2 linked regions of the Coturnix japonica genome follow. The protein of the gene in region 2 interacts with the protein of the main gene of each other region in a pairwise test. Links are inferred from orthologs where the notes say so. Each region holds a gene or a part of one and is shown on either strand. Other genes may lie near its edges.

Region 1 (4,581 bases), on a different chromosome or scaffold from region 2:
CTGCCCCGATTGCTGAGCTCCGCAAATTTTAGTAAATATGGGACAAAACGTAGCATTGATTCATTTTAGAAACAAACATTTTAACAATACTTCAGTGTCATCAGACTCTGTTCTTGGTGTTGCGATACATCCAAGGTGATTATCAGCACGACATCCAGAGCAGAAGTATCTTAAACTTAAGCACTCTTCAAGATTTCACTACAAAATTCTAAATAATTATCTTTTGCACTGCATTTATTTAAAAATCATCCCATGACCACATAAAATGTACACATTCACTGTATATTAAGTCCAAGGCTACATCTATAAATGTCCTTTTGTGTTTAACAAAATAATTCTTTTCTTTTAGATCAGGCCACGTACTCAGCATGGCCACCTTCCATTTACCACTTTTGTTCTAAAAATACCTCTATGCAGGAAAGTCCAGCATAAATTTACATATGCTACAAAGTATTACACTTATTTACATGGCTCTCTTTTCCCTATGAAAACATCATATACCTACATAAGATACTGTAACTTAAAGTAATTGTAGAGTAACCAATTTAAAGTTATAAGTAACTACTCTCCAGCTTTCTCACAATTACAAAATTATACAAAACAGGAAAAAAAAAAGAATTTAGAACTTATCAGTGCATCAGAATACAAAGAATTTGGGGAATTTCTGGCAGTCACCTGGCAATGCAAAACGTGTCATTAACTGGCAGTCTAATTTGTTGAGGTTGCAATGAAATACTGCTGGAGCTGGAGATACAGACTTCTTTACTGTGTTCTTCCACCTTTTTTCAAGAACATGTAGAAATGTTTCTTAAAACTAAATTTTAGTCACAAGCTTGAGTGTCAGATCTCAAAGGTCTGAAAAAAAACAAATCCTCTTTGCATTTTCACTAGGAATTGCTGCTCAGAAGAGTTTTAACTAGAAAATCTGATAAAAGGTGAAAAGGCAAAGGCAGAGCACCTCATTAAAGCTTGCAGAGTGTTTGTTTTTTCCAGTTAATGCTGCATCAAGTTCAGCAAAAGTTGGCCTTCCAATGCCATTAACAAGGACTCTCAATTCCAATTTTTAGGGACAGTCCCATTAACTCTTACAGTAAATGGTGACAGTCTAGGATTTAATCAAATTAATGTAATAGCAAAATCAAGAAAGCACACAACTTTTGAGGTAAAACATTGGGAATGTAAGCGTCCCTACCTGCCTCCTTCTCTTCCAACTACATGCAGCAAGAACATTTAGTCCTGTTACCCGTGCATCTGCACTTCTGAATAGCTAGTCTCAAAGTTGGAGCCTGTAAATTCAAATAACTAATTGATAAATCTTTTATCATTTAAAGTTCCATCTCAAGCCTGGACTTTTAGCAATGTTTTAAGCTGAAATGTCATTATTTCTTTATCAGAAGGTTTAAAAGAAACAGGCACCCAGTGGCTTGGTGGCTTGGGAAGAACACTTGGTGAGGGTGGTTCACTAAACTTTGCTCCTGCATAGTTCTGATTGGTCTGAGGTGAGAAAAATAGGTTACGGTTTGACAGATCAGGACTCCAATTTTGATTACAGGGGAAATGAATGTTGTTCTTTCCTGCCTTCTGCATGGCCTGCCATGCACCAGACAAGGAGTTGCATCCATGTCCTCTTTCTTTCTTCATACAGGTTTTCTTCATCTGTGAATTCTGGTCTTTATTCTTCTGCCTGTTTTTAAGTTGTTGATGGTTCTTGGTAATATTTCTAGACTGGGGAACTGGAATGCTGAACCTCTCTCCGCCACCCATTTTCAAGTTAAATGTCACCTGTAAAGAAAGGGAAAAGTTTGTATTTTTCTTTTCCTTTTTTAAACCCAGGAAAACTGAACTACAGTGCAATGTGTCTTCCTAGTGGCAGATACTCCCTCTAAAATGGCTTAACAATTCTGCTGCTAATGGCTGATCTGCTGGTCATCGTGCACTGATCCATCCTTCAGGAACTGGATACAGACCAGTCCTTCATCAATACACAGCTCTGTCTACCTATTGATGAAAAAGCTGCTCCTCTGCACAGCCCAACCACTGGACGTGCCACTAATTCCCTCCACAAACTGCACTAGGAAAATGTGAAAGGTGCACTGTTCACAAAACAACGTCAAATGAAAGGGTTAACACTGAAGACATTTAAACCAAGCCTATGTTATACTTAGAGAGAAATCTGCACGGATAAAGGCATGCCCCAGTCTAACAAATACTACTTTTAACTGCTGATATTCCTAAGCAGGTACAGTCAGTGAAGGCAATGTAGGCATGAGATACGTTCCAGAGCAGATTTTTCTGGCAGGAGATGAGGAAGCAGCACAGATGTGAGCACAGCTGTGGGACACGAGTTAAAAACCACAACTGAACTGAAAACGTTCAAGTGTGAAGCAGCCGTTTGTAAGTGGACCTGAAAGAAAAGCCAGGCGCTGTCACGGCTGTGTCCCCTGAACCATCCCATCCCTGCACATCTCAGTTACCTCTCAGTGGCCGTTTCCGACTCCACGCTCTCCAATCCTCGCCCCCTTTCTTGCTTCCAAGCCTGCAATAGCAGGTGCTGCCTTTCGCTGCTCTCCTTCCTTTGGCTCCGGGCGCAGGTTTTCATGGGCCGATCCGCCGTATTCAGCCAGGCAGCCGAAGCCAACATCAGCTTCTCGGCACTAAACTCCAAGGGGAGAAGTCACAGCTGCAGGAAGAGTCTGGAGTCAGACACGGGGAACAACTTTTCCCCTTCAAGTTTGGAGCTACAAAAGAACGTTAGAAACGATGGAATTCACACAGATCCACGCCCCGACCCCAACAATGGCGTCACGAGCACAACATGGCGGCACCCGGCCCAACCGCAGCGCCCCGCCTTTACCGACTGCTGTCCGCTCCGTACACACACACACAACACAGACACACACACACAGACACACACACACACTCAGGCCCGTCCGAACCGACCCGACCCGCCGCTCGGTACCGTCACGTCCCGCCCCGCCGCGTCCCCGGCCCCACACAAAATGGCGGCCGCTCCCGTCGCCTTTTATAACCTCTCCCCCTCTCCCTTCTCCCAAGTCGCCGCTCTCCAGCCAATAGGAGCGCGCTGCGTACTCCCCGCAGCCAATGAGAGGCAAGTTTCCCCCGTCGGCGTGATGGGGCGGGGTCCGGTTCGAATCCCCGCAGCGCGGGAACCAACGGCGCCGCCCCGCGGCAGCTCGGACCGGCTGCGGCTGATCCCTCCCTCCTTCCTCCTCCCTCCCGCCGTTCTGCTCCCGCCGTTCGTTTCCCGCCGTTCTGCTCCCGCCGTTCGTTTCCCGCCGTTCGCTTCCCGCTCCCTCGTGCCGTTCTGCTCCCGCTCCCGTCCCCGCGCTGGCTGCAGAGCAGGAACAGCCTCAGGCTGGAGCACAAGCAGTTGGACGCGTTGCGGGCTGAGCGCTCGTTCCCCCGCGCCGTGGGTGCAGGGCGCAGCTCCGGCCGGGCGGGGGCGGCCGAGCAGCACGAACCGCACGAACCGCAGCCGGCACCGCGGCCTCCAGCAACGGGGCCGAACCCGCCGGGTCTGGGGCCGAACTGACGTTCCCGCGTTGTGCGCGGACCATAAGCGCTGTGCTCACCTTATGGCACCCGCTTTGTGTTCAGGGGGTTTCCAGTCTCCCCAGCACAGAGTCACAGAATCAGAGTCATTAAGGTTGGAAAAGACCCCCGAGATCATTGAGCCCAGCCGCCCACCTACCACCAGTATTTCCCCACCAGGCTGTGTCCTGTGGTACAACATCTAAACATCTCTTGAACACCGTTGTAATGTTCTTTGGACACTGCGTAAATGCGGGTATGGAGAATTTAAGACAGTCCTGGGAAAGCTGTGTGCAATTCAGAGACGTCAAGGTGCCGTTTGTTTAAGAGATGCCTTGGTTTGGGTGGCAGCGATTTCTGAGGGAGATTTGGGCACCTGAGGAGCTCCCTGGTGAGCTGAGATGGGTCAAAACCCACCTGGCTGCACAGTGCACCCGTCTGGGGAGACAAGGGCTGTCACTGAATAATGACATTGAGAATAATGACATAATGACTGCTGCATTTGTGATGTCCTGCAAAGAGCTGCAGGAAGCATGGGATGCTGAGGTTGGAGTGCAATCGCTGTGGTCCTGCTGGTTGCCCCAGAACCTGACGTAAGAGAGGAGCAGCTTGTTGCAACGCTAAGCCACATTTCAGCCCAAAGTCCAGGACTGCTCTGCTCCAACATGCCAAGAGACGCAAATCGGGATCAAAATGCTCCGGGTGCAACAGAAAACGCTGCAGCTGCCAATGTTTGTTCCCCAGTGAGCAGCTGGGAGCAGAGTGTGGGGTCAGGGCCTCAGCGGGTTCTGCAGCACATCACGGGCTGGTCGGTGGGTGTCACAGCTGCTGGGAAGCACAGAACAGCAGCAGTAAGAAGTGGGCGCTCAATGGGGAGGGAAGTAATGGAGACAAGTACGAACACCCTCAGGGTGCGGGCGGTGTCGGGACACACCGCGGGGCAGAGGCGGGTGGGGGCAGCACGTCGCGCAGCCCCGCAGCCGGGAGGACACGGCCGGGCACCCGCAGCTCCGCGCTGTGATGGCGGCG
Region 2 (3,812 bases):
CCAATGATTATTTCTTCTCCATTTCTCTCTTATTTATTTTAATCACAGATGTGTTATTTTCCATTGTCACCTCCTCGAGGGTTTTCTGGCACTGCTGGCTCGGGTTTTGTTGTTTTGTTTTGTTTTGTTTTGAAGGCAGAGAGCTATAGTTCTATCACGAGACTCAAAAGAATATGAGAAAATGAAAACAAATTAGGGGGAGGAAAAAGAGAGAGCAAGCATGCAGCCAGTTTTATATCTCATTTTTTTATGGATGCTTGGTGGTTTGGATGTGAGGTTGTCTTTTTTTATTGCATTACTTCTGCTGCTTAGTGCCTATAGAGAAAATCTTGTTTGGAGTAGATGCCATGCAGACTTGCTGGTTTATGATCTATTCCTGCTTGACTATAACTCTTGACTTTCAAAACAGAAAAATGCATTTAAGTGTAATCTAATAGCAAAAAGAATGTTCTTGCAGCAGGAACCCTGTCAGAGAACATGTAAGCAGCTCCATAAACAAGTAAATGAAAGCCTCAGACATGCCTTAAGACCCTTTAAGAAAGGCTTGACTAATCCCCTTTGATGATTTTATTAAGTACTCGTGGTTGCTGGTGCCAACTGGCAAACTGCTGCAGCTCACCAACAGGCCAGGAAATCACATCCTCTCCCCTCTTGTTCATAGCTCCTAATGTGATCGGGTTATTAGCAGTTTGATATCAGAAATTAACAGGTACTGTAAACAAGTGGCTGAAAAGGTAAGGCAGTAAAGCTGTTAGCCCACAAGATCCTATTAGGAAAAACAGCATGGGAAAAAAAATAAAAAATAAAAATAAAAAAAATAATAATAAAAAAAAAAGAAAGAAAGAAAAGAAATGAAAAAGAAAGCAAAAGTTAAATTCATTAAGAGGCATTTATTAAATTTTTGCTTGTCTTCAGAAAAAGGACAGTGTGACTGCTGTTCAGTTGGCACCATTATGTGGCATTCTGCTCTTTCAACAAGTGCAGCAGAGGCAGGAGCTGTTGCAGAAGGAATTAGCATCTTTTCTGAGGAGTGGGTTACTTCTCTTTCCCCTGAGGTTAAAGTTCAAAGAGAAATTTCCTCTTTGTGCACATCACTTTAATTCTATTAAAACACCAAATCTTCCCTTTCTTTTTTTTTCCCCCCTCCTAAGTTATCCTTCATGGACTGTGGTACAGATGAACAGGGTCAGGAAATCCCAATTCCACAGCATTGGGATTATGGAACTAAGCATGAGTATTTCAGAGCAAAGAAGACACAGTACAAATCATAGACTGTTACTGTAATGCTCCCCAAACTAACACAATTCTTACAGAAAGCTTCTACAAAACCCCACTTGTTTACAACTGTGTGTGTTGATTAGAAAATATTACGTATTGCATTGATTACTGTAATAAAGTGAGGAAGAGAGACACAAAATCGGAAGTGAGAATAATAAATATATGTTTTACCACAGTGCATGTACAAATAAGTAGAAGAGCAGACTTATGGCAAATCCAAACATGCCTAATAGTTTTTCTTATGTTTTGTTGTGTTTTGTTTTTTCCTGTTCAGGATTCTCTACTTTGTCTCTAGCTGACCAGATGAGCCTTCTGCAGAGTGCTTGGATGGAGATTTTGATTCTCGGTGTTGTATACCGGTCACTTTCTTTTGAGGATGAGCTTGTTTATGCTGAAGACTATATTATGGATGAAGACCAGTCCAAATTGGCAGGCCTTCTTGACCTTAACAATGCCATACTGCAACTGGTAAAGAAATACAAGAGCATGAAGCTGGAGAAAGAAGAGTTTGTCACCCTCAAGGCTATAGCACTTGCTAATTCAGGTTGGCAGAGTGGCACCGTGGTTGCTACATTTTTAATATGTCACTTTTCTCCATATTACTTTCTGCATGCTTGTTTTAAATACAGGTTTAGAGTAAGAAGTTGCTAATCAACCCTTAGTCTAACAGGCAACAAACAATGCAGTTCAAGCTAAGAGGAGCTTTCTGGTCCTAAGTAATCAGGGAGTACGCTCCTAAGGGAGCGGGAGTGTAATGCACTGTGTGATTTGGAGACTATTTTACAGGCAAAGATCCTTACAAATGAATATGGATGCTCTTCTCCTAAATCCATTCCATAATCCAGACGAGTCTAATCATAGTAGTTAAAATGAACAGAAAGGATACATGAGGATATGCTATATCCATTCTCTTTAAATGCAGCTACTGACTTATAAGATAGAGTGAATTCAGGGTGTGGGAGAGGGGAGGAAATTCTTTGTTAATCCAACAGGGACCCCACTTTACCTTTTGGATCCTCTGCATTTGTGGTGATGCTTCTCCAAAGATTACTGTTACCTGTGCAGAAAGGGTTAAAAATCTCAGAAAGATTCTTTTTTCCCCTCTGCATTTGAATTTAAAAGTGCTGAAGCAGTGAATACTGCCAGATAAGTAAAAATCGTTTTTGCTTTGTTGTTTTTCCTTTTGTGTCTCCTTAATGCTTTATTGTGGTCTTAAGTCCCTTTTAGCATTTGCATAAAGTTCACGATAGATCCCTCTTTAATGACGTGCCGATCATTAGATACCTGTGTGTCAATAACATGCTCTGATGCTATGTTCCATTGACAGTCACACCGTGCCCCTCCATCTGCTTTTGTTTTGACCCTATCTTTGAACTTTATCTTGGTTGCTGGCCAGTAGTTTTCCCTTTAATTACAAGAAGGAAACTGTCAATAAAATCTGTTAAATGGGATGCAATGAGTGGCTTGAATGGGCGGACGGCTATTTGTTCAAATTCTGCAGCATTCAAGGTATTGACAGTTTGTTTTCTGGGGCCATATGTGACGATCAATCTCAGGCTGGGCTCAGCCGCGCTGAAAAATGAAAAACCAGATTGCTTTTGCTTACTTGTGGATGACGACTTGTGATTTGGCGCGGTCCTGGTGAGATGAGACCTTCTGCCCAAATTGCCCCCCTGAGAGCCAGGATGCGTGACTGTTTTTAGAAATAATTTTTTAATTGATTTTGTAATTAACAGTTCATCTACAATATTGATGCATGAATCCTCAGATTGATAGGAGGGAAATTGTTTTCAACAATGAAGTTGTACTTTCCTATTTGTCTTTGTAATGTGATTTAGCACTCTGCATTTTTAATTGGAAATATAATTCAAAAACATGCAAAGCCAAAATGCTTATTAGTTTCTTTGTATTCTCCACCCCACTGACTCTGTCCCTGGTATTAGAATATCATTTTATTTTCAGAAGAGAAAACATCTGAAATGTCCCTCAAAGCTCCGAGTTGTTTTGTAATTGAGGATCTATTTACAATTAGTGACCACTGTAAGTGTACACTTGAGAACGTTTTGCAGCTACAGGAAGGGCTTTTCCCAAGGTTGTTCGTGCTTATTGAGCAGAGCAATAAAGTTAACTGGAATTAGGAGTCTAAATTGGGAGCTTATTATGTTTCTTTCCCGATTTTTACATTGGTCTGTTTGATTTAGAAATATTTCTGTATCTTACTTGATGAAGAGGAAGGGAACTGGGATGTGGGAATCCAGTGTTAAATACCACTCACAGCCCTATTGGTTTTTCTTTTCCTCAAGAGGCGTGCAGTGATTAAGCAATAATAAAATACACTGCTGCCAAAAAAGTTTATTCATGCATTGTGCATGGAGTGTGTTAAAATAATCCGTGGCTTCATTAACTTCCCTGGGAATTACAACCAGGATAATGTCAGAGAGAAATACCGTTTCGCGTACATTTAAGGGAAAACATTTCCTTCCCTCATCTGCAAAGGACTAAAATTGCTGTTTTAAAATGAAACTATTGCACAG

What was found.
Region 1: the proteins of ESRRG (region 2) and PNRC2 interact in binary tests that used the Homo sapiens proteins (3 or more experiments, as listed by UniProt). The link is inferred for Coturnix japonica from reciprocal best matches to the Homo sapiens genes ESRRG and PNRC2.

Annotation. Positions count from the first base shown.
Region 1 is NC_029538.1:4,928,332-4,932,912, reverse strand, and holds the start of PNRC2 (proline-rich nuclear receptor coactivator 2), read right to left. Parts: upstream 3,071-4,581; 5' UTR 2,941-3,070; intron 2,739-2,940; exon of another isoform or gene 2,681-2,738; 5' UTR 2,475-2,680; intron 1,783-2,474; 5' UTR 1,765-1,782; coding exon 1,339-1,764; 3' UTR 1-1,338. UniProt on the Homo sapiens protein: Involved in nonsense-mediated mRNA decay (NMD) by acting as a bridge between the mRNA decapping complex and the NMD machinery. May act by targeting the NMD machinery to the P-body and recruiting the decapping machinery to aberrant mRNAs.
Region 2 is NC_029518.1:17,817,306-17,821,117, forward strand, and holds part of ESRRG (estrogen-related receptor gamma), read left to right. Parts: intron 1-1,552; coding exon 1,553-1,822; intron 1,823-3,812. UniProt on the Homo sapiens protein: Orphan receptor that acts as a transcription activator in the absence of bound ligand. Binds specifically to an estrogen response element and activates reporter genes controlled by estrogen response elements.